Linked DNA regions of Cricetulus griseus. The protein of the gene in region 1 purifies or fractionates together with the protein of each later gene. This does not show direct contact. Links are inferred from orthologs where the notes say so. Each region holds a gene or a part of one and is shown on either strand. Other genes may lie near its edges.

Region 1 (4,611 bases):
GGAAACTATAATATACAAAAGAAAAATTTACAATGCAATAAATGTATATCTGGACAGATTAAATAATAGGGTGTGACAAGCTCCCAGAAACCCCTTCTTCCTTGCAGCCCCAAAGGTGATCACAGTCCTGACCTCTCACACCATAAATGTGTTTGCTTTCTGAATTTATACGGTAGAACTTTCTAATGCATGATGTCACATCTGGCTTCTTTTATTCAAGATTCATCCCCAGGGGCTGGAGAGATGGCTCAGAGGTTAAGAGCACTGACTGTTCTTCCAGAGGTCCTGAGTTCAATTCCCAGCGACCACATGGTGGCTCACAACCACCTTGAATGAGATCTGGTGCCCTCTGCTGGCATACAGGCAGAAGACTGTATACATAAGAAATAAATAAATAAAAATCTTTAAAAAAAAAAAAAAGACTCATCCCCACTGTTGGGCATAGCAGGACTTTGATCATTCTGGCTGTTATATCTGTGTCCATGGTATAAACAGGTTGTAACTGGTTTTTCATTCCATTCTGCTGAGGAGTTGCTTCCCGGTTGGTGTTATGTGTATACCAGTACACATGTCTTGGTGTTCATATAGAAGCATTTTGTCCTAGTGAGGTTTCCATTGCTGTGATAAACACCATGATTAAAAGCAATTTAGGGAGGCAAGAGTTTATTTCAGTTAACTGTTACAGTCCATCGTGAACGGAAGTCACGGCAGGAACTCAAAAGCAGGAACCTGGAGGAAGGAACTGAAATGGGGGCCATGAAGGAACGCTGCTTACTGGCTTGCTCCCCATGGCTTTCTCAGCCTGCTCTCTTAGAGTACCCAGGACCCATCTGCTCAGGGGGTGGCATTGCCCACAGTGGTCTAGGCTTTCCCACATCAATTATTAATCAAGAATATGCCCCACAAACTTACCTATGGGGCAACACGATGGAGGCATTTTCTCAATCAAGGTCCCTTCATCCCAGATGGCCCTAGCTTATGTCGAGTAGACAAAAAACTAGACAGCACCCATTTCTTCGGTTGGGCGTTGACAGCTTGGGACTGGAATTGCTGGGAGACCGGGTTGGCATAAGTTTAGCTTCCCTGGAGAACTGCCAGTTTTCCAAAGTATCTCTACCAATGACACTCCCTGACTGAAGGAATGTCGAGGTGTTCTGCTACCTCATCTACACGGTCTGTCTTTTCCACTTCCGCCATTCTGGCTGAGGAGGCCGCTCCCCACTCGAAAGTCTGCCACGCACTTGGCGCTGTTAATGAGACTTGGATGAACGGGTGAACAAGTTAAGTTGGGCAACGTAGGATCGAACAGCCTGGAGAGGGCGGACGCACGCACACACAGCATTTCAGGGACGCCCACCCGCCGCGGACGCACACCAGGACAGTCCCTCTCGCGCACCCCTGTGCCCACGTGGCCGGAACGCACCGCCTCGCTCGGGCCGCGCGCGTCCAGCCGCACAGCTGCCCCCCAGCTCTCCCTCTCGGCGGCGGGCAGAGGGCGCTGTGCGTCCGTGCGCCCCGAGGGGCGGGCCCGGGCCGGGGCGGGGCTGGCCGGGCTTCCAGGCCGGGGCTCTAGCCGCCCGCGCCGCCCGGGCCGCTCCGGGGACGGGCCGGGGCGGGGCGCGGTCGCAGGAAGCCAGGCGGGGACGCGCGGAGGCGTTGGGGAGCGAGGGAGGGCGCGGCCAACTCCCGGAGGGACGGCAGGCCGAAAGAGCGGCGCCGGGGCCTGGCGCGCAGCCTGAGATCGCCGGACCGCAGGCCGTCCCACCACGGGCTCTATCCCGGCCCCAGCCCCGCCAGCATGGCCGGCCGGACCGTGCGGGCCGAGACCCGGAGCCGGGCCAAAGATGACATCAAGAAGGTGATGGCGACCATCGAGAAGGTCCGGAGATGGTGAGCGCTGCCCCTGGGCCAGGGACACAGCCAAGCCACCTCCTCCTAAAGCGTCCGCCCTTTCCTGGCCAGCTGCCCCCGCCCACCAGCTGTGCTCTGAATCGACTGGGCTCCCCCTTCCCCTGGCAATTCCCAGAGGTCTACAAAGCGTGGTCCGGAGTGGTGCTTTCCCAGAGCGGGAGCCCTCATCTATGCCCCGCCCCCTGGAGCTTTGACACTCTTGCAAGCTCGGCCCCGGGTCTTCCTTGCCAGAGTCCCTGGCCCAGGCCTTGGTGGCGCCCTGCCGAGTGCTCCAGGTGTCTGCAGAACCGCAGCTCTAAGTTATATCCGTCTATGTCCTGGGCTTTGCAGGGCTCTTTCTGCTTCTATGCCCTGAAAGCGAAGCTTCCCTTACCCTAGCACATCTCCCCGGCCCCCTGCTGTATGGGGCTCAACCTTCACCTCCCTGACCGGGTCTCCTGCCCTCTCACAGGGAGAAGCGCTGGGTGACTGTGGGTGACACTTCCCTTCGAATCTTCAAGTGGGTTCCTGTGGTGGATCCTCAGGAGGAGGTGAGCAAGCCCAACCCCCAACAGACCTTGCATCTGTGCAACCTCAGGCAATTTCCCTCCCCACCTTGGCCTCCACCTTAAGTCGCTTGGAGTCTCCAGTGTGGAACTCAGGCAGATGGTAACGATTATTAGCACACACACATGCGCGCGCGCGCACGCACAAATACATACATACATACATACATACACACATACACACACACACACACCACACACACACACCAGTGCGCCCCGCCCCCCCCCCCGCGCCCCGAGTTCAAGACCTAACTCAGCCCACACAACCTGAGACAGCCCCTCTTGCTTCCCTGAGCCCAGGTTTCCTTATTTATATTGAGATTTGTAAGCGCTCACCAGACAACGGGCTCTTACCTTACCACTCTAACCCTCAGGAGAGGCGTCGGGCAGGAGGCGGGACAGAGAGATCCCGTGGCCGGGAGAGACGCGGCAGGGGCACCAGTCCCAGAGGGGGTGGCCCCCTCATCCTGTTGGACCTCAATGGTATGTACAGATCTTGGAATGGGGAGGTAAGGAAGCTACTGGGGCCCCTCTGGCCAACAACTCGGCTTTTGCTTCAGCAGATGAGAACAGCAACCAGAGTTTCCATTCAGAAGGTTCACTGCAGAAGGGCACTGAGCCCAGCCCTGGGGGGACTCCTCAGCCCAGCCGTCCTGGGTCCCCGACTGGACCCCCAGAAGCTATTACAGAGGATACTCAGCCCCCACAGTTGGGCCAAGAGAGAGGTAGGACCAGGTGGCTCTCAGGAGCCCTCTCCTCTTCAAAGTTGAACCCACCATCTTGTTCTTGTTCCTCTGTCATGTCCTTTCTCCCCATCCTGCCCTGCCCACCCCCAACCTTCCCTGACCCTGGCAGAAATTACATCTAGCTGCTGTTTCAGTCCTCTGGCTTCTTAGATTTGTAGGTAGCACATCACCATCTGAAATTTTTATGCATATTTATTTCTTTGCTTGCTTATTGTCTTTTCCTGTTACCATCTCATGTCAGTCATGCCAATCTCGCTCATTACTGTAACATCAGAGTACTGTGGGATACATAATAGATGTTCAGGAAATACTTGTTGGGGGAATAAGTGATTCTGATGATCAGAGAGATTAATAGCTGTAGAGTAACGGCTAGCAAAGCCCCTTCCCCGCTAGGTGTTCTGAGCACTTCAACGTTTGTTTTTTGTTTTCTCGTTTAATCTTCACTGTCACTTTATGGGAGGATGATCCTATTACGATTGCTCTTTATACACGAGGAGCCCGTCATCCAGAGAAAGATGTCCAGACTCACAGAGCCAGTGAGCCAACACCTTGGGCCTGAGCCCTCTTCAGCCTCTCTCTTCATATAGTCGGTCCTTTGTCTGGTCAGTACTGCTTCCCAAGTGTGGCTGATTTCTGTGCCTCGGGCCCTGCCTTCTCACTTCTTACTCTGCCTGCTCTGGCCTCCCCGCCTGTCCCTAGTGGTCTCCACACAGCTGCAGAACAGCTTTTCCTGAAGCACAAATTCAAATGATTATTTTTCTGCCTCATCTCTTTCAGTGGCTCCACATGGCCTTTGGTTCGTTTTGTTTTGTTTTGTTTTGTTTTGTTTTGTGGAGCGGGGTTCGAGGCAGGGTTTCTTTGTGGCTGTGGAGCCTGTTCTGGAACTCACTCTGTAGACCAGGCTGGTCTCAAACTCAGAGATCCACCTGTCTCTGCCTCCTGAGTGCTGGGACTAAAGGCGTGCGCCACCAACACCCAGCAGCCTTTGGTTCTTTAGTTTGACACTGGGGCCATACAAACCGTTACCACTGAAATCGTTCCCCCGACAAGAACACCACGACATGGGCGGGCCTCAGGACCATGTCTAGATTGTTCCAGATACCTTTGCTAATGTGAAATGATAGGATGCAGCTCAGTGGTAGAGAGCTTGTCTGACATCCTCATTTCTCATACCACAAAAATGAATGAATGGAAATGCTAGCTAGCACCTACCGAGCACATACTATGTGCTAAGGGCTTTACCAGTATTGCTTCATTTCATCCTCATAGCCGTCTCTTGTGGTATTACTGTCACTGTTCCCATTCTGCAGGTGCTTTAGTTGAGGCTCAGAGAAATAGTTTGCCTAAGGCCAGGATTCAGATTTAGTACAACATAGAAACTGTGGTTACTAAGCATAGAATTTCCCTCT
Region 2 (4,061 bases), on another chromosome or scaffold:
ACAATTCATAACAGTAGCAAAATTATAGTTATGAAGTAGCAACAAAAAATGTTATGATCAGGGGTCACCACAACATGAAGAACTGTATAAAAGGGTCGCAGCAGTAGGAAGGTTGAGAACCACTGTCTAGAGCATCATCTCCAACAATGCAGTATGGTGAAGGCAGATGTCAACCATGGAAGTGTATAGACACCCAAATAGCACTTCTAACTATAAACATACAGCATGTGTAAAACAGGAGTAGCCAAAAACAGACAATTTCTACAGACACACATAACACCATTAAAAGCCTATTACACCTGGTATTATATTAATGTATGTAAATTACCCCTCCAGATTCTCCTCTCCTTTGAAAATTACCATTTGCCCTGTGAGTGTATGTGAATGCACATTCTTGGGTGCCCACTTATATGTCAATGTCTATGTGTGCCAATAAGGTGGAGAGATAGAAGATACCTAATTTCACCTGTGGCCTCCAGACAAACATGCAGGGAGAATGTACCCACACATGTGCACACAGCACACATAAACATTAAAGAGATTCAAGTAATAGAAAAGGAACAATAGGTGTTACGTAGGACATCTTGATTAATAATAGATATTATTCACACTGTAAAGGCACACAATTATCTAATAAATTCCACAAAACTAAATAACACAAAGAACAGAAAAAACTTACTGGTGGAGTTTTCTGAGAAAGCTCTCTATTTAATCTGTCAGTGAAACTCTGTATTAGCGTGTTTCCTCCTGCTACAATCACACTGCCATAGAGACCCTAGAAGAGAAACGTATCATTTCCAAATGTTTCCAATAACCCTATAGTATCATTTGGTAGCTGGACCCAGCTACCAACTTCATTGTTTTCCCAATTTATTTATTTAGTGTGTGTGTGTGTGTATGTGGGTATGGGAGAGAGAGAGAGAGAGAAAGAGAGAGAGAGAGAGAGAGAGAGAGAGAGAGAGAGAGAGAGAGAGAGAGAATGTCATAGTTTTTGTGTAGAGATAAGAGGAACTTGTGAAAAGTGGGTCTTTTTCCAGTATGTGGATTCTGGGGATCAAATTCAGGTCAACAGGCTTTGTTGGCAAGCACCTTTACACACTGAGCCTTCTTGCCAGCCCAGAGCCACTAACTTAGAACAAATATTCTTCAATTTGTAATTCTTATTGGCAGACAGAAACTAATGATAGAGGTATATTTGATACTTATCTGTATTCATCTGGAAGTCATGGTATTTTAAATAAGACAATTGTTTTATGATCATGAGAGATAATGATCCTTTGTTCTTTCTCTTTTGTGGGGATGTTGCAAAAATTTAAGAACACAGGCTGCACCTCCCAAATAAAACAACTTCATATTCATAGGGATATATTTATTCCTGATTTGCATGTATTTATCAAAATGTAAATGTCAGCCTTCTCTTTTAACTTTTAACTGTGTTCCTAGTTTTAAAACCTATCCCAAGCATCTAAAAGTCATCTAAGTTTTGAAACAGAAAATGCAAAATTGGGACCCACCTGCTAACATTAAGTAAATAGAAAACAATCTCAGTACAAACAGCCCCATTCTTGCAAATTTATTTAATTCCTTGCCCTTACACAGAAGAAAAAAAAAAATTTCAAAACTTAAAGCAGAAAAATAGCTCAGTGGGTTACAGGTGATGGCTATGTGTGTCTGGACACGAGTTTGATTCCTGAGACCCGTGTGATGTTCACAAAACTGACCCTTCATACATAACACACAAAAAAAATCATGTTTTTGAAAATTCTAAACTAACACTTCCACTGTCCTGGAAGTGGTACAGGTTGCTAGGTCACTTGAAAGATATTATTTTCATGGTCACTCAAAAACCTTTTGTGAGTACTTTGTTTATACACTCAAGTCTGTTCATGCCATACGTTAAGCAAATTAACTTGAAGAAAACCAAGGTAGTATGTGGGTTGTAAACAAAGTAGATTATGAAATAAATCTATAGCTTAATAAATTATAACTAATCTAAGTAAGTACAGTATATAATCAAGTCAATATAGTATACCAACAGTTTAACACTTGACAGAACAAATACAAAAATAATTAATATAATCCATGTAAAAGCTGCATATTTTAAACCACACCTTTCTGAAAACTACAAGCAAATGTCAAGAAGTCACCAATTTCTGTGTACTTTGATTTACTACATTTTAGAAATCTGAAGCAGCAATGTCCAAAGAAACTTTGTAAAGATGGAAGTGTTCTAGGAATACGCTGTCCAGTAGAGCACCTACAAACCATGTTCACAGAAAAGAGAGTGCAGTTCAAGATCTGAGCTGAGTGTCAGGGGCACTGGGTGTCATTGGTCCCACACCCCTTTCCTGGTGTCCATCTCATTACACATGGTTACCAACAGCCCTCAAGGCTAGTGGCCAAAGCTGCAGCCCTAATCTGGGTGGGACATTTCACTGCCATAAGAGACAGTTTAACAGGAGACTGGCACTTACTGGTCTGATGTCAATGTCACACATTCCAACACTTGTCGTGACAACATGACTGACTCCCAGCATTGTGTTCCCAGATAATCCCTGGAACGAGAGTGCAAGTGTTCACATGGAAATTCCTATTGCCAAAGTTAGTCTAAGTTCTCCACACAGGAAAGCCACACTTTGCATGAAATGGTCATATAAACACACACACACACACCACACACCACACACACACACACACACACACACAACACACACACACACACACACACACACACACACACACACACACACACACGACCTTATCAAAGTCATATGAAATTGGCTTCACACCTTTACATTGGAAGGGTCAAATAATCCTTCAGGAATTTTTAGCCGCTCTGCACCAAAATCACAGTTGTAACCATTGGGGAATTCGTAGTGGACAGTTGGCATCTGCGCAGCCACTCTGCAAACAGCAAACAGTATTTCACAAAAAGTAACTAACCCTATTCAAACGATAAACCACCTATAAGGAATTATCAATCTGTGAGGAGTCAGAGTACAAATACCTAAGAACAGCATCAGAATATACTTTGTTTTTAGGCTACACACACTTCAACTCTTTGTTTGTAAACAAACAAAATCCCTTATTTCTGAAGTACAGTCACAGAGAAAACATACTGTTCGTCGTAGGTGGAGTCTGACACCTGAAGGACTGAAGCTTGAAAATCCTGGATGACACACTGTGGACAGAGAGAAGAAAGAAACAAGGTGGAAAGTTGCCTGTGTAACCTGCACTCTATGTATCAGACTGTGAATGACATCAGATCAGCTTCACATAGCTAAGTGAGTATCAAAACACCCAATTCTATGGTTACCTGGGATTTACAACTTAGAACAGAAATTAAACTCATTTCTGTAGTTGCAATTAAACAATTTAAGTACATTTCAATTACAATACTTATGGAATAACAAAGATTAAAAAACAACCAGGAACTTGCACCACTGCCCCATCATTCTTTTCCTTAAAAATTCCTTGATTTTAAAAGCAAGATTTTTATCACCTGAATATGTGACATGCAGACAGGTCACATCTCACACACAGAAATTTCTATTGACTACAGGCTGACATGGGAAACCTTGTCTGATGTCTGCACAGAATCATCAGCACACATTCTAACACATATAAACTTGGATGCAACATGCTCTCAGAATACACTTAGTCAATTATGGCTTTCATATTCCTTTACTCCTAGAAATTAGAATCTATGGAATGGCAAATATACCAACCTCTCACCCACATAGGTCTACATATTCAGACACAGATTTTCAGTAAAAAGTCTCATTGACTCATTGTTGAAGCAATGAGACATACTCCTGAATGTCTAATTAATGCTAGAGAAGAAATCATACCTAAGTTATACTAAGTTTGACATGAACTAAAAGCATCTTCTTTTTTGTTTTTAGAATTTCTCTGTGTATCCCTGACTGTCCTGGAATTCACTCTGTAGACCAGGCTGGCCTCAAACTCATGCTCAGTTAAAAGCATCTTAAAAATGCTATAGTGTGCTATAATAGCACACTATTATAAAATAGTGTGCTAAAACTATTTCTACCCTAAAA
Region 3 (4,061 bases), on another chromosome or scaffold:
TCCAGAGGGCAGGGACCGACCTGGGGCTCAGTGAAGCCCAAGAGCCTGGGCTCCTTTAGTGCCAGAGGGCAAAGAGTAAAGGGAGAATATGCTCCAACCTGTGGAGGGAAGGGAGGAAGATGAGTCACCAGGAGGGTTAAGGTTAACTAGCTTACAGAGTGCCCGAGGCCTGAGTCTCAGAGGAGGGGACAGCTCCCAACACCTGGGTCTCCTCCTAAGGGCAGGATCAGTGTAGCTGGTCTCCCTGAAGACCACCTGGCCTCAAGAGGCCCCAGTCATTTCAGAGCATTGATTACCACTATGGGTTCTCTAACACTATCTAGAGGTCCTATGTAGACCAGGGATGGGGTAGGGAGGTAGAGGCACATGGGAACTTCGTGGGGAGAAGCTGAAGGGGAAGGCTGGGGTGAAGAAGAGGACAATAGGTGCCTGTGAAACAGAAATGTGACACCCTCTTCATCGTGATGCTATCCTTGAACCAACAGCATCTCCTGGAATGCCTCAAGCAAAACCAGCACAGGTATGTTGAGGCAGGCAGCACAGGGCCCCAACAGAATTGGTGCAGCCAGTGAGGGCGGTAGAGGCCCTATGTATTCCGGATTCCTAGGGCTTGCTCTAACTCTTGCCGCCTCTGCTGCACCTGAAGAGAAAACAGGAGTGGAGCTTGAGACATCGAAAAACCCAACACCCCTGACATCCATTCAAAGGTACAGACTCCTGTCTTTTGTCATCTCTCTAGTGTGCCCCAGGCATAGCACCAACCTTGGAGTAGAAGTATCGGCACACAGCCTCCTGAGCCCAAGGCTGGAAGTAGAACTCAGCACGGCGTTCCTCTTCTGGGTTACCTACCACATCAGTCATAGTCTGAGAGAGAAGGGGAGAAGAGAACAAGCATGATTCCTGCTTCCACATCTGCTCTTCAGTTGAACTGTGTCCCTTGCCACCTGCCTCAAAGATGCTGAAATTCTTTTTTTTTTGTTTGTTTTTGTTTTTTCGAGACAGGGTTTCTCTGTGTAGCTTTGGAGCCTATCCTGGCACTCGCTCTGGAGACCAGAGTGGCCTCGAACTCACAGAGATCCGCCTGTCTCTGCCTCTCGAGTGCTGGGATTAAAGGCATGCGCCACCAATGCCCGGCTAGGATGCTGAAATTCTAATTCCTCTGTGCATGTGACCTGATATGGAAATAGGGTCTTTACAGATGGTCAAGTTAAGATAAGCTCATTGGGATTGGCCCTAATGCAGTATAACTGGTGCCCTTATACAGGAGGGAAATATAGAGACAGACACAAAGACACAATGAAGACACATGGAGAATGTCTCAAGCCTAAACTGAGGGACACCTGTGGTTCCCAGAAGCTAGTGGAGAGCACAGAACAGCCCTGTTGATGCTCTCCTTCTGGACTTCCAGTCTCCATCACTGGGAAACAAACTCCCATTGCTGAAGCTACCAAGTCTGGGTCAGGCTTCTTTAAAAGCCCCAGCAGACAAAGACAATACCCCAGACTACCACAGAGTCACCACCAGGTGCAGGCCCTTTCTGGTGCTCCTCTGCTCAAAAGTGCACTAGTCACAGCAGTCACAGCAAGGCAGGACGCCAAGGATGCTGCCCGGGTACACCTCCCTGCCTGAGCGTATGATGCTCTTCTTTGGGAAGCATCCTCAACTCCATTCTCCATGGTCTCCCAGGGATTCTCCATTCATCTACTACTCTTTCTTTTGAACAACTTTACTAATTCCAGTTAGTTTGCCCATGGTTCACTATTTTTAGTAACAGTAGCCTATTTTTTCCAAATGGAACACATCTGTGGAAGAGGAGAGCCCAGATCTTCAGCTCTAACCCAACAGCCTGGAATCAAGTGACAATACTTTGGAAGTATTAACTATAGACCTGATGGTTCTGCCTTGATTTCCCTTATCAACTATAAAACAGACCCTGGGATATGCTAAAAGAATGTGGTCCCTTAGCTCTTCAAACCATGCTGCTCTCCTGGATTCCCTCTGGGTCCTTCCTAGGCTCTTTACCTTGAGGTCCCGGCACTGGGACTGAAGCCAATCATTGATGAAACCTTGAGGGTCTCGGGCAAAGCTCAGCATGAACTCTCGCTGGGTTTTCAGCTGGTTGATAGTTTCTATTGTCTCATGGATCTGAAAGGAGAATGGTCCATTTTTAAGCCAGGGAAACTGCAAGCCAAAGGCAGACAGAGGCTGACATTGCCACAGCTGCTCCCACCCCAGGTGCAGAGCCTGCTGCCCTGTGTCTACTTGGTGCCCTCACCCTTGGCTTCTTACAAAAAGTCCTGTGTTTGCTTCTCTATCCCAGGTAGGGGAATTTGTTCTTTCAGCCAATTCAATATGCATCACTACAAACTGTGACTACTTTATCACTGGCAGTCCAGAGTGTCATGTTCCAACAAATCAACATGCTTTCTTGGCATCTCAAGACACCCTAAAGGGACCCCCCCCAAAAAAAAACCTGGTCATCCTTCCCCTAATCCCTCCTCCTGATCTTAGTGGAGACTACTCTCTACCCAAGCCAGGTCTTCTCTCTTAGGCCCACCCAAACAGGGGGTACATTCCTTCATTTCACTTTGATTCTCAAATCCTATCTCTGTCCTCCCTGTCTGAGCCTTTAGTGTAGAACCTTGACATATCTCACACAGACTATCAGTCTCGCCTCCGAAATAGACTTGCTCCAGAGCTGCCCCTCTTCAACTCTCTCCACCCATCCACTAACACAGACAGCATTAGTACTTCCATGGTGAAGGCTTCTATAGGCTCCGTGTCGCACCTGCAGGAGGTATGCACAAGTTCTCCCCATACAGAAGCTTTCTGACCAGGTTCCCACTTCCCTAGCAGCCTCCTCTGCCTGAACATCACACCGGGAAGGTAGCTCATGTCCTGTCCAGCATGACACATGAGAGAGTTCTGCACTTCTGGTTCTGAGGTAGTCTGTACTCCTAACTAGCCTGCAGCTCATTATGTACACAAGACTGGACCTGAATTTGTGTTGCTTCCTGCTTCTGCCTCCAAGTGCCAGGGTTACAGAGTGAACCACCATGCCTGGTGTCGCTTGTATTTCTGGGACCACACCAGGCTCATTTTCCTCCTTGGGTTTTTACATACCTTATCCCGTATCTCTCTGGATTGTCCTCGGCCTTCCACACCCCAAACACCACTTTGCTTCCTCCCCATCTGTTAACTTCCACTTCATCCTTCAAAATTTACCTAAGGTGTCTATTCTCCCAGGAAAGCCTCTACATTATCTATGGTATTTACAAAGCACTTTGGCTTTGCCTGCAGGGACTATGCCTATAATGTTAATGGTAATGATGGTGGCAGCATCAACAGCAGTGGGAATTATATGCTGGGTACAGGCTCAAATATTTAAAAACATGGTCTCATTTCATACACAGAGAAACCACATAAAAACAGGTATCATACATAGTCTTCATTTCAGATACCAGAAACCGAGGCTCAACGATACTAAAAGGTATTGCCCAAACTGGGCACAGCAGCTCCTATCTGTAACTCAGCACTGTGGAACATGACATAGGAATATCATCCATGAGTTTGAGGCCAGCCTAGTCTACAAGGGAGAGACTGACTCAAAATGCTAACAACAAAAACACAAACATCCAATAGTCAGAATTAAATGTATGCATGTGAGCTTGCCTCCAATTACCACCAAACATAGCGATAGCCTGACATAGATGGTTCTGGGTATCAATATATTTTTAGTTAAAACCAAGAACCAAAAGGCAGTTAGAAGCCATGACTGAGGGATGGGGCCCTACCTTGTTGTCTAGAGTAGCGATCTCCTGCTGGCTGGCCGTGGACAGCAGGAAAGAATTCATCTGGGTCTTCAAAGTGTCATCCACTTCCACATCAATGTCATAACAAGCTGTCTTTTTCTGGTCATTTGGGTCAACACTGGGGAGAAAACAACAGGGTCCAGTAAAGGGCTTTTTCTGAGTTCCTGCTTGCCAAAGGTCAGAAAGATGGTCTAGGGATGAAGGGAAAAGGAAGATGGTCTACATCCTCCTCTGAGAGCTGTATGGAGT
Region 4 (4,061 bases), on another chromosome or scaffold:
TAAAACATAATGCTTTGGAGCCAAGAGAGGTCTTGTGCCCTCAGAATATTGTCTACAACCCTGTGACAGAGGGGACAGAGGGAACAGGAGGCTGCTGAGTGTGCCCCATTTCTCTACCCCCACTCTGAACCTCAGTACCGCTTCAAGAATCCCATTTACCCTGGCTACAGCAAGAGGTAGTTTAGGGACTAATACCCCCAGCCACCTAACCGAGTTTCATGAGATAAAACATTTAGCACTTACCTATTTTAATAGGTTTCCCCCCTTTCTTTTCTTATAGGAGGAAGTTTTTAAAAAGTCATAAAGTTCAGCTAGATGTGAGGTGGTGTGGGGAGATGTGTGTGGGGTGGGGGTGGGGACTCTAAGGTATGTGGGTGGGGCCCTAGACTCTAACTTTCCTGGCTAGTCTGGGAAAACCTAGGGAATGGCTCCCCAAATTCCAACCTTTAAAACTCACACAGCCCCTAGGAAAACCACCCCAGTTCCAACGCTGCAAATCTGCACGACACCCAGAATTGTGGGGAAAGGAAGGAATGGGATCTTCTAATGTTTGTGCTCTCTGGTACCACATACAGGTAGAGTGGTGTGTTCCTCCAGACAGAGTGGAGTCCTTCACAGTTCTCACTGGGGAATAAAAGCAACAGGATACCTGTTTCTTCCCCAGCTCTTCTCAGTTGGGTGCATTTTAGTGAGGTAAAACCTCAGGGGCCTCACCTGTAGCACCACACTTAGCTCAGAAAAGTAGAAATAAGGTCACTTATGATGCCTTAAGGTGTCCCCGCCCTCTGTGACTGTCTCCTGCCCATCACCAGTTTTGTTTGTTTGTTTGTTTTTTTTTTTTTTGGTTTCTATTAACTGAGGATGCTCTCCTTAAAAACAATAGGAGAAGAAAGGATAGTAATTATTGAGAATTATCCACTGAAGCATAAGAGAAAACACAGAGAGACATACAATACTAATGTCAACAGGACCTGCAGACCAACTGCCAACACCTGGCACACGGCTTACTTTTCAAATGATCAGGGCACACTAGTCACCACAGGCTTCTCACTGAGTACCAGCTAAGGACTTGATACAAAAAGTACTGGGGAGTGGAGAGACATGGGACTCATGCTTGGGGCTGTGAGGAAAAAGAAAAAAAAATCCCAAAAGAAAACCAAGGAAGCTGAGACACAAGTCTTGCCATCCCCATTTCAGCTTGTGGTGGGTGTGGAGGCTCCCTGTATCTTCCAGGTTAAGGAGTGGCCGAGGCTGGAGGGCCTGGAGCAGGAGGAGGAGGGACCCCGTCTGCAGGTGGAGGCTGCGGCTGCTGCTGTGGTGGAGGAGGATCTGCAAACACATTTAAGGTAACTCGTCACTGTTGGGAATATGGAAGGCCTGAGAAAGCATCCACTCAATGGAAAGTGACAGATAGGTGGGTTTTTTTGGGGGTGGGGTTGAGGGTATAAGATTTTACTATGTAGCCTTGGCTGGTCTGGAACTTGCTATATAGACCAGATTGGCCACAATTTCAGATATTTGACTGCCTCAGCTATAGTGCTAGGATTAAAGACAAGTACCACCATGCCTAGCTTAGGAAGTAACTTTCTTTGTAGCAGGCAAACAATGTGGGCTCAGAGGTCAAGTACACAGCAGCCAACCAGCTGGTACTCATGGTGCTAACAAGTAGTAGAGGGAAATGTCGGAATTCATTCACCCTTCTCAAAGGACCACTCATTCCAAGAATCACTCCAGATCTCCCCCAACTGAATTGTTTTTCCATTTTATTGTATTCTAATTTTTCTCTCTACTAATTGTGTTTCTTCAATTAAATAATCAGAGCCTTCATGGGCAAACTCTATATCTTTATCTTTCTTTATTCCAGGGTGTCTGGCCTAGCCAGGCACGGGAGAGATTATCAATAACTTCTTGCTGATTAACTGTTTCCACCAGGGCCACAGAAGTTCACTCAGGCACCTGCTGATGAGCTGGATAGTCCTGGGAGGCCCTTACAGCTCCTCAACTGCCATCCTTGGATTTCTGGCCCAAACTAGGTCAGGTCCTGAAGGGAACAATTAGCATGAATGTCTGGGGTTCTTTTCTATTTCAACTCTAGCAGCTTTAGCGTACAAAGAAACCCTGGAGATCATTTAATCCAAGGCTTTAAAACCTCTAGATCTTGCTAGAAATGAAAACATATCAAACAAATAATTAAAGTATAGCTACAATAACCAGGCATTCACCCATTCGCACTCCTGAGAGGCTTCTAGCAAACCTCTACAGCTTTCCAAACACTTTGAATCTAATAGTCTCCTCCTTTGTGATCTTTGAGGAGACTAAGCCCTGAGGACAGGAAGCTACTCATGCAGTGAGGCCTGTCCAGGGCCCAAGAACCAAGCCAGAGGCTTTGATTCCCAAGAGACCTGTTTATCCATAAGGTAAAACACTCCATGCTCCTCCAAGGTCCCTAATGTCAAAAAACATATAGACCATTGATAGTTCCAGGGATATTATCTGTCCACCAGAGATGGTTGACTGGGCCAGCTCTCTTGGAAAGCCAGTTCTTTCTTACCTGGGACATGGCTGGACAAGCACTTTCTTTTTTTTTTTTTTTGGTTTTTCGAGACAGGGTTTCTCTGTGGCTTTGGAGGCTGTCCTGGAACTAGCTCTTGTAGACCAGGCTGGTCTCGAACTCACAGAGATCCGCCTGCCTCTGCCTCCTGAGTGCTGGGATTAAAGGCGTGCGCCACCACGGCCCGGCAGGACAAGCACTTTCTTAGCAAATTCTACTATGACATCTGAACGTAAGCTCAAGGGAAACAATTCTTCACAGGGGGCAGGTTTTATAAACTCAGTGAAGCCAAGACTTCCTTTTGTGTATCTACTTTATCTTAGCCTCTGGGATTTACAGGGAAGGTGTACATGTGTCTGTGTGAAGACAGCTTCCCTTCGAGGAAGCCCCCTGCAATGTTACAGAGCATCCAAAATATTTTGTAGGTCCCTGTAGAACTTTTATTTTCTGTATGTATCACGCATGCATACATAGTTGTGCCATAGCATGTGTAACTGTGGAAGTAAGTTCTCTTAACCAACATGCAGGTTCCCAGGAATCAAACTCATGCTATCAGGTTTGTCTCCAAGTGCCTATACCCACTCAACATCTCACCAGACATCTCTCATAATTTTTACTAAACCCTACTTAAACTTTTTAAAAGGAGATGTCTAATTTGGTTTGTTGTTCTAGAACACAGTCCATTACAGCAGGAAGTCATGGTTGCTAAGTCAACTGGTTGTATTTCATCTACAGTCAAGAAGTAGAGGGATGAATACTCCTATCAAGTTTCCTTCCTTCTTGTTTCCTACTTAAAGTTCAGGCAGGACAAGGGGTCCCCCTCCCCCCCAGACAGGGTTTCTCTAACAGTCCTGGAACTCGCTCTATAGACCAGGCTGGCCACAAACTCAGAGATCCCCCTGCCTCTGCCCTCTGAGCCAATTCACCACTTTTAACCTTGCAGCATAAAAGCTTTTGTAGAGGAAATAACAGCCAGGAGCTATGCATGTCAGTGGAGATTCAAACCAGTCAGGTTTAATCTAATCCACAGCTCACTGTCGAAGGCTGGACTGTCTGTGCTTGCTACATCACAAGAAGAGAAGAAAGCCTTTCTTCCTGATCAGCAGCCCCACCCTAAGCAGGATGCTGAAGGAATATCTTCCCACTGTGCTACTTACACATGCCATTTGGTGCTGTGAGGGGTACCCTGGGTCCTAAGATGTTTCCAGGCATTGGAGGCATACCAGGAGGGGCAGGGCCACTCCCAGTAGGATGAATGCTGGCTGCCACAGTGGGAATCATGCGGCCTGGCATGGGCTGCCCAGGCATCATGGAGCCAGGGCCCGGTATCTGACCTGTGGAGGGAGATTTAAAGTATTGTAAGTATACATGCATTCAGAGGAAAAAAAAATAACCAACTTAATGTCCATGATTATATAGATGAAGATTTATTTAGTCATGGTCAGTAGTGGTGCATGACTTTAAGCCCAGCATTAGGGAGGGAGAGGCAGGCAGATCTCTGAGTTCAAGG
Region 5 (4,061 bases), on another chromosome or scaffold:
CATACAGTGAAGAGAGTGGAGGATTCCAATAGCAGTGGGCAGGCACATATTCATGTCATAGGAGTGAAACGGAGGGCTATACCACTCCCCATCCAGATGTACTATCAGCAACAGCCAGTTTCCACTCCTGTTGTCCGCGTTGATTCTGTTGCTGATGTGTCTCCAACACCTTCACCTGCAGGTATTAACTTTCAATTTTAATATTCATTTATTATATATGCAGTCAGGTCTTGCTGTACAAACCATGCTGGCCTCAAACTTGGGGTCCTTCTGAAAGCTGGGATTACAGACAAATGGCAGTATCCCCAAGTTTTTCAATGTTTTAAGGATTGCTAGAATGTAAATGTGTATTTTGTATATTAAGTGATGGCCTTGCCCTGTGCTGTTTACAGTGTTTCTCATGGGTGTCACCATACTCTAATGTTTCCTGTCTTTTGGGCATTAATTTCTTTACACCCTTCCTCTTGTATTAAATTAGATAATAAGACATTTGACATCTTACAGTCATTTTACTTGTAACTTTTATTTTTCCCCATATATATAGGAATCCCTCATGGATCACAAGCTGTAGGAAATCATTTTCAGAGGACTCCTGTTACCAATCAATCTTCAAATTTGACTGCAACACAAATGTCTTTTCCAGTACAAGGTGTTCATACTGTGGCACAGACTGTTTCTAGAATTCCACCAAATCCTTCAGTTCATACCCACCAGCAACAAAATGCTCCAGTGACTGTCATTCAGAATAAAGCCCCAATTCCTTGTGAAGTCGTTAAAGCAACAGTAATCCAGAATTCTCTGCCCCAGACAGCAGTTCCTGTGAGTGTTGCTCTTGGAGGAGGACCTGCACAGACTTCTGTGGTTCAGAATCATAGTACAGGGCCACAACCTGTTACAGTTGTGAATTCTCAGACATTGCTTCACCATCCATCTGTGATGCCACAACCATCTCCATTACACACAGTGGTACCGGGACAGATACCTTCAGGCACTCCTGTTACAGTAATTCAGCAAACTGTACCACAGAGTCATATATTTGGAAGAGTACAGAACATACCAGCATGTACATCTACAGTTTCACAGGGTCAACAGTTAATCACCACATCACCACAACCTATGCACACTTCATCTCAACAGACAGCAGCTGGTAGCCAGCCACAAGACGCTGTTATCATAGCACCCCCACAGTATGTAACAACTTCTGCATCCAATATTGTGTCAGCAACTTCAGTACAGAATTTCCAGGTAGCTACAGGACAGGTGGTCACCATAGCTGGTGTTCCAAGTCCACAGCCCTCCAGGGTTGGATTCCAGAACATTGCACCCAAACCACTTCCTTCTCAGCAAGTTTCATCAACAGTGGTACAGCAGCCTATTCAACAACCACAGCAGCCAACCCAGCAAAGTGTAGTGATTGTAAGCCAGCCAGCTCAGCAAGGTCAAACTTACGCACCAGCCATTCATCAAATTGTTCTTGCTAATCCGGCAGCTCTTCCAGCTGGTCAGACAGTTCAGCTAACTGGACAACCAAACATAACTCCATCTTCTTCACCATCACCTGTCCCAGCTACTAATAACCAAGTACCTACTGCCATGTCATCTTCTTCCACCATGCAATCGCAGGGACCACCTCCTACTGTCAGTCAAATGCTATCTGTGAAAAGGCAGCAACAGCAGCAGCATTCACCAGCACCTCCCACACAGCAGGTACAGGTACAAGTTCAACAGCCACAGCAAGTACAGATGCAAGTTCAGCCTCAGCAAACAAATGCAGGGGTTGCTCAGCCTGCTTCCAATGAGTCTAGTTTGATCAAACAGCTGCTGCTTCCAAAGCGGGGTCCTTCAACCCCAGGGGGTAAGCTTATCCTCCCAGCACCACAGATTCCTCCCCCTAACAATGCACGAGCTCCTAGCCCTCAGGTGGTATATCAGGTGGCCAATAACCAAGCTGCTGGTTTTGGAGTGCAGGGGCAAACTCCAGCTCAGCAACTATTGGTTGGACAGCAAAATGTTCAGTTGGTCCAAAGTGCTATGCCACCAACAGGGGGAGTGCAAACCGTGCCCATTTCGAACTTACAAATATTGCCGGGTCCACTGATCTCAAATAGCCCAGCAACCATTTTCCAAGGGACTTCTGGCAACCAGGTAACCATAACAGTTGTGCCAAATACCAGTTTTGCAACTGCGACTGTGAGTCAGGGAAATGCAGCTCAGCTCATTGCTCCAGCAGGAATTAGCATGAGTGGAGCACAGGCAGGAGCCGGACTTCAGGTGCAAACGCTTCCAGCCGGACAATCACCATGTACCACTGCTACCCCCCCATTCAAAGGCGACAAGATAATTTGCCAAAAGGAGGAGGAAGCAAAGGAAGCAACAGGTTTACATGTTCATGAACGGAAAATTGAAGTCATGGAGAATCCATCCTGCCGACGAGGAACCATAAACACCAGCAATGGGGATACAAGTGAAAGTGAAATACAGGTGGGAAGTCTTTTAAATGGGAGAAAGTACAGTGACTCGAGTCTACCTCCTTCAAACTCAGGGAAAATTCAAAGTGAGACTATTCAGTGCTCACTAATCAGTAATGGGCCATCCTTGGAATTAGGTGAGAATGGAGCATCTGGAAAACAGAACTCAGAACAAATGGACATGCAGGATATCAAAAGTGATTTGAAAAAAACCCTCGTTAATGGGATCTGTGATTTTGATAAAGGAGATGGTTCTCATTTAAGCAAAAACATTCCAAATCACAAAACTTCTAATCATGTAGGAAATGGTGAGATATCTCCAGTAGAACCACAAGGGACTTCAGATGCTACTCAGCAAGATCCTGCCAAAGGTGATGAACTAGAAAGAGTTTCTAATGGACCTGTATTAACTTTGGGTGGGTCACCGTCCACAAGCAGCATGCAGGAAGCTTCAAGTGTGGTAACACAACAATTCAGTGGTACTGACTTGTCTAACGGACCTCTAGCTTCAAGTTTGAATTCAGATGTGCCTCAGCAACGCCCAAGTGTAGTTGTTTCACCACATTCTACAACCCCTGTTATACAGGGGCATCAAATCCTAGCAGTTCCCCACTCAGGATCTAGAGTGTCCCATTCTGCCCTATCAACTGATGTTCGGTCTACAAATGGCACAGCTGAATGCAAAACTGTAAAGAGGCCAGCAGAGGATAATGATAGGGAAGCAGTCCCAGGAATTCCAAATAAAGTAGGAGTTAGAATTGTTACAATCAGTGACCCCAACAATGCTGGCTGCAGTGCAACAATGGTTGCTGTACCAGCAGGAGCGGATCCAAGCACTGTAGCTAAAGTAGCAATAGAAAGTGCTGTTCAGCAAAAGCAGCAGCATCCACCAACCTACATACAGAGTGTGGTCCCACAGGTGAGTCCTTTTGTCTTGTTTGTTTCATTGAAATGCTGTCTGGAAACATTAAATGAATCATGTCTCAACTTAAGCAGTTATGGTGTCCGCTCATGTCTACGCAAACTTCCCTGTTGTGCTCTTTATTTATTAAACAGTTTTCAGTTCTTCACTCTAGCATTCAAGGTAAGGATTTTTTTTTTTTTTCAGTTTTGTATATGCAGTTTCACCTTGCATGGTAGATGCTATTATCTATGTACCTGACAGGAATGCCCACTGAGTGTTAGAAAATTCTAAGTCCCAACTCCACATGTTGGGATTTTTCACTTACATAATGTAATGTTTAATTTTTTAAAGTTTTACTATATATGAACTTCTCAATTCATTTTGATTATATATGTCTGATTGATTTTTCCTCTTGGAGTCTGTAAGAACTCTAAATAAAATGATAGTTAATCAGACTAAATTACAGAATAACTCTAATGTTAATAAAATTTACCCTCATTTTGTGTGTTTTAATCTTCCATTATGATGATCATTACACTATTCAAAAAGGTTAGCTCAGTAACCAAGAAGAACAGTGGAGTTAGCTGGTGTTAGGACCTCACCAAGGACAATACACTAAAGCAGAACAGTGACATTAGCTAGTGTTAGGACCTCACTAAGGATGATACACTAAAGCATTTTCTCATGGA
Region 6 (4,839 bases), on another chromosome or scaffold:
ATTCGGGCTCCAGACGGCATCCCGGGGCGCTGGGGGGGTGGGGTGGGGCGGGAGGTGAAGCAGAAACCGGCGCCGACAGGTCAGATTCGGTCCCGACCCCCAGGCCAGCGTGCTGTGTCCCCGCCCCTCTCCAAGACCCGGGGCTGGTAACCCTGCGCTGAGCGAGGAGTGGGAGTGATTGTGGGAGGGGCGGGGGCGCGGGAATCTGCGTGGCTCTGGAGGAGGGGGCTCGCCGGCTCCTTGCAGGAAGCTAACTGAAGCCAGGCAATTGCCCAGGGCATAGCCGAGCCTCGGAGCCGTGCAAGGTACCGCAAAAATGAATATTAATGGCGCCTTTCAACCTTTCAAAGGATGTTCACATCGGCAGGCACGGTCTTCTGCAAGCCAGCCAGAGCCGGTCTTTTTTATCCCCAATTGACAGATGGGGCAACTGGGGCTCAAAGAGAAAAAGCGACCTCGCCAAGGTCACCCCGTTCATCCCGACAAAGGCAGCACCTTGACGGGCCTTGCTCCCCGCTGCTTTCCTGCTTTCTACAGCCCACTTCTGGGGCTTTGTATGTGAGCCCCCATCTCCCTTTCAGCACCCCTGGTTTGGACCCTTGGTGTTCAAATAACCCCTTCAGCTGACTCCAGGTCTCTGACTTAGTCTGCCTCCTTAATTTCATTTCTCCCAAGGTGATACAAGAGGCTGGGCAAAGGCACCCGAGGGTCTGAGCTTTTCCGAGTGGCAAGTGGGGAACTGGACTAGAAGTGGGCTGCCAGAGGGCAGGGATGGTTGAAGGAAGCCACATCTCCCTCCCATCTGCCTACATCAGAGAGAGAACCCAGTACCCACCCCATCCTAGTAAGGGTACAAATTGGAGGGAAATGAGGCAGGTTGTATTTCCCCAGCCACCACCTCTGGGCAGTCAATCAAAACAGAAGAGGTGTAAACGCAAGCGGGGTGTTCCAGAGTCCACTTGTCCAGGCCTGGAAAGGGAGTTGAGGTTTAGGGGCTAACCAGGAACAAGGAGGTGATGTGGGGGTGCAGACCCTACTATTTACACACCCTCATCTCAGGCTAGGGATGTAGCTTGGTGTAGTGCTTGCCCAATACATGTGAAGCCCAGGGTTCGATTCCCAGCACCAAAGAAACTGCACTTGTAATCCCAATCTCAAGGTGGGGACAGAAAGAGCAAGACCATCTTCCCTTATATAGTGAGTTCGAGGCCTAGGCTACAGGAGACCCTGCCTCAATACACAATAAACAAATACAAAATACTCCTCATCTCACCCCAGAACCAAGAAACCCCGACTGCTCAGACCAAAGGTCTCCACCCTCTACCACCCTCTACCAGCAGCTGTCCCTGGCCATCTCTTCTGTAGTGTAACCGGCCAGTTCCTGAGTTTGCCTCCCCCATTCCACCTGACTCTGTCACTCATACCACCAGTGCCACCAGGGTGGAAGGCCAGGCCTAGTCATTCCCCACTACTAATAAGGGGGCCTTGATCACTCAAGGACTGACCCTCCAAGTTGGCCATATTCAAATCCACATGGGCAGCCTCCTCTTCACTGAATGGGACTCTGTAAAGCAACTCCCCCAGGCAGCTAGGTTAGGACTGGTAACTCCACTAACCCACAGGACTGCCTTGGGAACTGCACCCCAGAGATCCCTGTGGCTAGAGGGCAGGCTGCCACAGGGAAGCCCTCCTCCCTATCAGCTGCCCTGCTACTCATCAAGGCCACCCACACTGTCTGGTTTACTGAGAGGAAGGGGCTTCCAGGGGCTCTGCCACCAGCACCACAATCACAAGAGGTCAAGGTTTTGGGGGCCCTTGCCTCTTTCACTGAGGAGGTGCTTCTTGGAGTCACAACCAAATTTGGCCATAGTAAATTTGACTGATTTTTCCCTCTATCACATATCCCCAAGCCTGGAGCGCCTTACAGCCAGGCTCTCCACTGACTCAACCCAGTCATCTCCCTCCTCAGGTCCCTGGAACCCTCAGGTCCCTCGTGTGCCTTCACATGTCTGTGGCAGGACACTATAGTGTTAACCCTTTGATCTCTAGGCCTCATGTCCCCAACTCCATCCCTTCACACCTTTGAGGTATTAAGGTCATCAACTTCTGGTGGCTGAGCCTGCCAAGGGATCCCCTGACCCCTTTAACTTGGGGTCCATCTCTTAAGTAGGCCTCTCTTAGCTCTGACAGCAGGGCCAAGTCCTCAGGACCCTCCTGCTAGGCTGCAGAGGTTGCTCAGCCAGGGAGCTTTTGCTCTCAGGTGCCTCCAGGGTCACCTGCTCCTAGTTCCTCAGACCCAGTCAGAGTGACACTGCCCCTGTGGATGAACAGGACAACAGGCAGCCCAACCCTAGTTGTGTGTTCCAGTCGCCACCCCACCCCCACCCCAGGGCAGGGGTAACACCTGGGCCCACCAGTAAAAAAGAACGGGCGACGTGTCAGCTACAGAGGGGACCCACCTCTTGGGGGGCACGGTGCCCACATCCCACCCCTTGCCCCTGACAAGAGCCCAAGCCGACGCCTCTCTTCCCTGCCGCCGCGCGCCCATCCCCAGCCGACCGCTTGGCGACGTGTTCGGATGCCAGGGCGCCGGCAAGGTCCCAGGGTTGGGCCGTGACCGTGCGCCCCCCAACCAAAGGGGTGGGAGAGCGGGAGCGCGCCGGCGGCCCTTCCCGATCATCCCTCCATTCAGCCCGAGCCAGCTCGCTCGCCCTCCCCCGCTAACTTTCCCCCACTCACCACCCCATGGACCAGAAACTCAAAAAGTTTGCTTTTCGTGGCTTTGCGCGCCCCTCCGGCAACTTCGTCCGCGGCCATCGGGGTGGGCTCAGCGGCTCCTCTCACTCTCTCTCTCTTCCTCTTTCTTTCCCTTTTCTGCCTTTTTTTCCTCCAACTCTCCCCTCTGAGTCCTGCTGGGCTCTCTCACACTTCTACTCGAGCGGAGTGGGGAGGGGGCCCCTTCAGGGCTGCCCTGACGGCCCACGGCCCAAGCCGCCGCCGCCCGCCCGCCGCCGCCGCCCGCCGCCGCCGCCGCGGCTGCCGCATTCCTGCACTGATAAGACAGAAATAGTCCGGCGGCCCGGGGTCTGCCTGCGACGCGCGGGGACACAGCAGCCCTCCCGTGCACCCGCGTGGTCCAAACGGCGCAGAGACGCGGCGAGCCAGGCCGGTCCGCCCAGCGGCTGCGAGGCGGGCAGCGAGCGCCCAGGCCGCCGGAGGCTCGCCGGTGGCGGCACGGGGAGGGACAGTCTAGGGAGGGGACGGGGGGGGGCTTGCCCGCCACCCTGCCTTCTTTCTCCACAAACAGTTTCTCGGTTGGGGAATTCGCCGGCAGGGCCAGGCAGAGAACGGGCAGTTCCAACTTTCTTCCCCCAAGTGGCTCCTGCAGCATTTCTGAGGCCCTTTCCCCAGGGACCGGGCAGGCCAAGTAGGGAAACATTTGCTGGAAGGAATCCGGGGGCGGGGGGGCGGGCGAGCCGGGAGCGGGCCTTGCAGCCGTCCAGGGCCGGCCGCCGTGGGTGTGCCCGTGCCTCGCGCTCCGCGTGTCTGCACCCTTTTGTGGCTCGGCGCAGCGGCCGAGGGTGTGGATGTTTATGTGCGGGCACCGGTGTGCTCCCTCCACGGGAGCCGCCGTGCCTGCGCGTGCGAGCGTGCGAGCGTGCGTGCGCGCGGGGCAGGACACGGCCTGTGCCTTCCAGCTCGGAGGGAGGCTATTTCTGGGCTCGTGAGTCTTTGTTTGCCTCTGTGTGGGAAAGTGAGGGCAACCGGGGAAAGTCTTTCCGAAAAGGGGACATGGACTGGGCTCCTGAGCACAGGAAGAGTGAGTGTGGGGAATCGTGCCGAGCCGGGATGCGTACTTGGGTGGGTAAGGAGGAAAGAGTGAGCAAACAAGGTTTGGTGGCTCTGGCATGGAGACCCAGGGGGGCTGGGGGGCTGAGGTCCGCTCCAGGACCGAAGAGAAAGCAGGAGTGTGGAGTGGGAGAGGATGAGGGAGCCCCGGAAAGGACCGTAGGGAGAGAACTGGCCGACCCCCGAGTGGAGGGAGAACAGAAAGGAGATCCCTAGGCTGAGCTCAGGCCCCGCCCATGCCAGAAGCCACGCCTGTTCCCACCTTCTGGAGGAGGAGCCCGCAGGCTTTGGGACAACTAAGGGTCACACTTATGGGCTTCCTGGGACGGCAGCTGTCAGAACTAGGATGAGGGAGGGACAAGGCCTGAGGGAATTTGTGGGAACACATTAAAATTTGAGCCCTCAGGACCCAGCATTGCACGGAGGGGGCCTAACCTTTGGCCCTGCAGAATGTCTTCATTGGCCAGGACAAGCAACAGAGGGAATGTTCTCCCAGGAGTCTTTTGGGCCAGCACCTTAGTTTCCTGCAGGTCCTGCTAGTGTGCCTAGCTGTCATTGCCCTTTCAGGCGCCCACTGTCACTGTGAAAGGTTTAGAGAGAACGCCTTGTTCAGATGGTGTGGCAGACACTGGTTCACGGTGGGCTGACCAGCAGCCAGGGCTATAAAGGTAGCTCTAGTGATGATCTGCGTGGGAACCCTCCCTCATCTGCTAGCCTTGAGGCTCTTCTGCCACCGTGTAATGCCTCCACTTGCCCTCTGCCTGGCCCATCACACTCACCCTTTAAGACCCAGGTCAGACCCTGGTTCCTGGCCTCACTCATGGGAATACATCTTAGTCTTCTCCAAACGTCCGGTATCACTATCTTGTCCATAAACTGGGCTGGACTAATGCCTCAGGTGTCCTTTGCTTCAGGTGCATTTGGGTTTGTGACTCCTGAGGGCAGAACCTGGCCTTGGGCCCATGTTTTCCCCAGGCCTGGGTACAGGAA
Region 7 (4,061 bases), on another chromosome or scaffold:
TGCTCTAGTAGCACACCAGACATTGAAGCGCAGGGGCTGCTGGGAGCACTGCCTAGGACTGGGCTGGCCTTAGGATGTTTCACTCACCCTTCATCTACCAAACACTCCATTACTCAATTCATTAATTCATTTTTTAAGTTTTTTTTTTTTTTTTTTTGAGACAGGGTCTCTCTAAGTAGACCAGGCTGGCCCTGAACTCACTGAGATTCTCTTACCTCTACCTGGGATCAAAGGTACATAGCACCACCCCTAACTGAACTACAGTTCTAATGAAAACATCTATGAATAAATTACAATAAAGTGAAAATAATTCACGATGTAAAGATTTTAAACAAAAGCATTAGCGGGCTCTATTGTCTGTGGGCCTACTCCTTAAATGTATACTACACGATACCTCAAATTTATTGTAATTTTTCCAGAAAATGGGAACACTTTTATAAAGACAGTACAAGTTACATTGTGACGTAACAGGCACATGATAAAGGCAGTCAGTGAATGGAATAGGTACCCTTTTAAGCTCATTATTAAAGGAATCCGTGCTTTCCAGGAATTTCCTCTTCTTTTCCTGGTGTCGCTCCTCTATCTGAAGGAGTTCAGCTTCTAGTTTTCGCTGCAAGGTATCAGACCAGATTATGAACCATTATACGTTTTCTCTAAGGCAGATGTAAAGCACACAGAGAATGTCATTTTAAAATTAGCTTATGCTTTAAAGTACACTTTTGTATTTTTAATTATGTGTATGTGGTATATACACAAGAGTAGGTGCCCAGGGAGACCACAAGAGGGTGTTGGGTTCCCAGGAGCTGGAGTTACAGGTGGTTGTGAGTCACCTCACACAGGTTCTGGGAACTGAACTCAGGTTCTCTGAAGAGCAGTATATACCCTTAACCACTAAGCCATCTCTCTAGCCCACTAATTTTGCATTAAAAAAAAAAATCATCTAGTATAAAATCTAGCTATTATTTTAAAAATGTAACACAGGGAAAGACTACCATTAACACTATGTTAATGAGTAAATTCTTTGGGAAAATCATTTTATAGTAATAGAGCAAAGGCTGATGGGGTGCCCCCAAATTCTTTAGTTTGCACCCATCTTTTAAAAGATATACTTGTCACTACAATGTTATATTTACAATTTTCAATGACAAACTTACTAAACATCTGGAATGGCCCTCTCCCTTAAGCTTCTTTCTCAAGTCAGGCACGGATGACACGACTTCACAGGTTTACTTACACACTGTGTCAGAGCCATGTCACCTGGGATGTGTGGCACAGCTTCCTTTTATTATAACAAAAGCTCTTCTGCCCTTACCTGATGAACCATTAAAGACTGGACCTGTCTCTTGAGGACCTGCATTCTAGCTGTTGTGACAACCGACCGCACATCAGGCACCACACTCTCACTGAGGATCTCACTGATGAGGCGGTGGTTTCTCTGGAAACGGGCGGTGGCTGTATGCTTCATCGAAAAGCCATCATCATAATCTGGATGAAGGAAATATTCTAGAAATTAGGTAGCCAGTAACCACAACCATGTTAAGAAGCAGTTATCAAGTGTGGTCTTCAATGTCCTAGCAAGTGGACTTGCTCAGTATCAGGGGAGTAGGGCAGGTCCACAGTTAGAACCACACAGAGACAGAAGACTCAGCCAGCTGAAATGTTGTCTCCATAAAGTTAGTAAGGCAGGATTCACAACCCATGGGTCACAACCCCGGGTTGGGCACCTGAACGACCTTCTCACAGGTTGCATATCAGATGTCTGCACTGTGATTTGTAACAGTAGCACAATTAGTTATGAAGTAGCAACAAAATAATTTTATGTTGGAGGTCACAAAATGAGGAAGTGTATTAACAAAGGGTTGCAGCATTAGGAAGATTGAGAACCACTGTACTAAGGGATGATTTGAGTCTGAGGTTTGGTTAGAACACAAACAACATATGTCCATATCTCTTTTAGCCCTGGGATCCATGTGAAGCCTGCATGTGATGACAGCACTTGAAATTCTGCCAAATATTCCACTCTCCAGTAATGACCGCAGACATCTGATAAATGCTGAACTGTAAATAGGTGGTATCTTTATCACAGCTGTTAAAATTAATGAAAATATCCACCTGAAAAATTAGCTTATCACCATCTTCTCTAGCAATATTTTGTTTTCCAGGCAGTACTTATGGTTTATTACATTAAAAATGGTAAAGACCCAAACTAATGTTATAGAAAAAACAACAACTTGATTTCAAGGCTAGGAGAGGGTTCACTTGATAAAGGGTTTGCCAGGCAAGCACGAGGATCTAAATCTGGATCCCAGCCAGCATTAAGGAAATGCTGGTTGTGGCAGATTTCAGAAGGCTCTAGCTAAAACAGCAAGTTCTAAGTTCAGAGAAACTCTATCTCAAAGTAAGGCAGAAAAGAAACTGAGGAAGCAAACTGACTCCCACATATGCCCACAAAAAGGTGGAGACTGAGGAAGAGACCCAACATCGACACACACACGGACACACACTACACACTCAGAGATACTTGAGTCTAAATTTATAAACATGCACATGGCTGTTACTAGGCACAGAGTAGACATTTGTGTTATTTTGGTGTGTGATGCATGCATGCCTGTTTCAGCCTACTGGACCATCTCTTGAGCCCAGGGTGTGATTTTTTTTTTTTTCTTTTTTTTTTCTGACACAAAATTTACTGTGTAGCCCAGGCTGGCTTTGAACACTCATCAGCCTCCCTGCCTTAGTTTCTAAAGTGCTGGGATGGCAAGTGTGTACTACCATACCCAGCATGTATGCGTATTTCTAGTAACACAAGTGTTTCCTTTATCTGCTTTATCACCTTCAATACCTGGTAGCCATCTGTACTAATAGCTACTTAATATTTTTCTTTACATTAACTCACTAAACAAAGCAAGTTTTCCATCCAATATAGATAGAAATAAAGGTTGTCACGGAACCACCCAATCCTCTTAGTGTCTCACAGAGGTCTAGGTGTCACGCTTAAGGAACCCAGTTACACAAAGGCCTGCACGTTGAACATAATGGTCTCTGAAGACCTTTACCGTCTTGGTGAATCAAGCTCTGCCTTGTGGGCCTTCTGATAGTTCTCTAAGAAGTTAGCAGATGCTGTCCTCATCTCTTGATGAGTGGCTCCTATCTTTCGGTTTTCTTTACATTTCTACTTTTCAAGTCCTAGAACAGTGGTTCTCAACCTATGGGTCTTGACTCCCTGGGGTGGGTGGGTGTGTGTGTGTGTGTGTGTGTGTGTGTGTGTGTGTGTGCGCGCGCGCACGCGCGCATGCGTGCGCGTCAAAGGACCCTTTCACAGGGTCACATGTCAGATGTCCTGCATATCAGATATTTATATTACAATTCATAACAATTATGAATAACAATAACAAAATAACTGTAATTCAAAATTACAGTTATGAAGTAGCAATGAAATCATTTTACGGTTGGGGTTACCACATAAACTTTACTAAAGGGTCAAAATGTTAGAAAGGTTGAGAACCACTGTCCTAGAAGGTCATATTATATCAATACAGCTTAATTATTATATTCCATGTTACTGCTCATGTAAGAGCCTTTCAAACTTAGTTTTGACTGTTACATTTTGCTTAGGAAATATTTTATTTTCTACATATGGCTTCTATGTTGCCAACCTTTGTTTCTACCACATAGATCTCCATTCTCCCAGTTATTTGCAGACTTGCTCCTCTATAGTTTTAGTCATGTCTTTCTTGCATCAACTATTTCATCTGGGTAATTAAAGTCTGCATATATCTTTAGCAATGTGAATGCTTAACACTCAATTCCTGTTTCTAGTCTACATTTTATTACATTCTACTGCATTTATGAGAACTTTTGCCAGTAACTCCAATGAATCCTTTCAAAGCTCACTTCCGATTCTTCCTCTTACTTAGCTGAATTTACTCCTGTCTTGGTGCCATTATAACCTCCTCCACTCTTTAAATCTTTTTAAAGTTCTGAAGAACTCCCTCTGGTGTGTTTAAAGTGGGATCTTAAATTATGATCTTGGTGTTTTTGTGGCTGGTAGTTGCTGCTTC

What was found.
Region 2: the proteins of Bcl7c (region 1) and Actl6a purify together in Homo sapiens (affinity purification with mass spectrometry; 3 studies listed by BioGRID and IntAct, counting the BioPlex papers as one, with this or other methods). This does not show direct contact. The link is inferred for Cricetulus griseus from reciprocal best matches to the Homo sapiens genes BCL7C and ACTL6A.
Region 3: the proteins of Bcl7c (region 1) and Smarcd1 purify together in Homo sapiens (affinity purification with mass spectrometry; 5 studies listed by BioGRID and IntAct, counting the BioPlex papers as one, with this or other methods). This does not show direct contact. The link is inferred for Cricetulus griseus from reciprocal best matches to the Homo sapiens genes BCL7C and SMARCD1.
Region 4: the proteins of Bcl7c (region 1) and Smarcc1 purify together in Homo sapiens (affinity purification with mass spectrometry; 4 studies listed by BioGRID and IntAct, counting the BioPlex papers as one, with this or other methods). This does not show direct contact. The link is inferred for Cricetulus griseus from reciprocal best matches to the Homo sapiens genes BCL7C and SMARCC1.
Region 5: the proteins of Bcl7c (region 1) and Arid2 purify together in Homo sapiens (affinity purification with mass spectrometry; 3 studies listed by BioGRID and IntAct, counting the BioPlex papers as one, with this or other methods). This does not show direct contact. The link is inferred for Cricetulus griseus from reciprocal best matches to the Homo sapiens genes BCL7C and ARID2.
Region 6: the proteins of Bcl7c (region 1) and Smarcd3 purify together in Homo sapiens (affinity purification with mass spectrometry; 3 studies listed by BioGRID and IntAct, counting the BioPlex papers as one, with this or other methods). This does not show direct contact. The link is inferred for Cricetulus griseus from reciprocal best matches to the Homo sapiens genes BCL7C and SMARCD3.
Region 7: the proteins of Bcl7c (region 1) and SWI/SNF-related matrix-associated actin-dependent regulator of chromatin subfamily E member 1 purify together in Homo sapiens (affinity purification with mass spectrometry; 5 studies listed by BioGRID and IntAct, counting the BioPlex papers as one, with this or other methods). This does not show direct contact. The link is inferred for Cricetulus griseus from reciprocal best matches to the Homo sapiens genes BCL7C and SMARCE1.

What each region holds. Positions count from the first base shown.
Region 1 is NC_048596.1:73,056,691-73,061,301, forward strand, and holds the start of Bcl7c (B-cell CLL/lymphoma 7 protein family member C), read left to right. Parts: upstream 1-1,550; 5' UTR 1,551-1,798; coding exon 1,799-1,890; intron 1,891-2,362; coding exon 2,363-2,441; intron 2,442-2,830; coding exon 2,831-2,939; intron 2,940-3,016; coding exon 3,017-3,181; intron 3,182-4,611. UniProt on the Homo sapiens protein: May play an anti-apoptotic role.
Region 2 is NW_023276806.1:116,635,236-116,639,296, forward strand, and holds part of Actl6a (actin-like protein 6A), read right to left. Parts: intron 3,182-4,061; coding exon 3,120-3,181; intron 2,905-3,119; coding exon 2,790-2,904; intron 2,556-2,789; coding exon 2,475-2,555; intron 776-2,474; coding exon 680-775; intron 1-679.
Region 3 is NC_048595.1:396,147,955-396,152,015, reverse strand, and holds part of Smarcd1 (SWI/SNF-related matrix-associated actin-dependent regulator of chromatin subfamily D member 1), read right to left. Parts: intron 3,931-4,061; coding exon 3,795-3,930; intron 2,146-3,794; coding exon 2,023-2,145; intron 865-2,022; coding exon 763-864; intron 641-762; coding exon 587-640; 3' UTR 1-586. UniProt on the Homo sapiens protein: Involved in transcriptional activation and repression of select genes by chromatin remodeling (alteration of DNA-nucleosome topology).
Region 4 is NC_048597.1:217,699,104-217,703,164, reverse strand, and holds part of Smarcc1 (SWI/SNF complex subunit SMARCC1), read right to left. Parts: intron 3,886-4,061; coding exon 3,709-3,885; intron 1,330-3,708; coding exon 1,235-1,329; 3' UTR 1-1,234. UniProt on the Homo sapiens protein: Involved in transcriptional activation and repression of select genes by chromatin remodeling (alteration of DNA-nucleosome topology).
Region 5 is NC_048595.1:392,800,820-392,804,880, forward strand, and holds part of Arid2 (AT-rich interactive domain-containing protein 2), read left to right. Parts: coding exon 1-181; intron 182-544; coding exon 545-3,387; intron 3,388-4,061. UniProt on the Homo sapiens protein: Involved in transcriptional activation and repression of select genes by chromatin remodeling (alteration of DNA-nucleosome topology). Required for the stability of the SWI/SNF chromatin remodeling complex SWI/SNF-B (PBAF).
Region 6 is NC_048601.1:97,911,233-97,916,071, reverse strand, and holds the start of Smarcd3 (SWI/SNF-related matrix-associated actin-dependent regulator of chromatin subfamily D member 3), read right to left. Parts: upstream 2,970-4,839; 5' UTR 2,818-2,969; coding exon 2,740-2,817; intron 30-2,739; coding exon 1-29. UniProt on the Homo sapiens protein: Involved in transcriptional activation and repression of select genes by chromatin remodeling (alteration of DNA-nucleosome topology).
Region 7 is NC_048600.1:113,358,279-113,362,339, reverse strand, and holds part of SWI/SNF-related matrix-associated actin-dependent regulator of chromatin subfamily E member 1, read right to left. Parts: intron 1,486-4,061; coding exon 1,313-1,485; intron 611-1,312; coding exon 509-610; intron 1-508. UniProt on the Homo sapiens protein: Involved in transcriptional activation and repression of select genes by chromatin remodeling (alteration of DNA-nucleosome topology).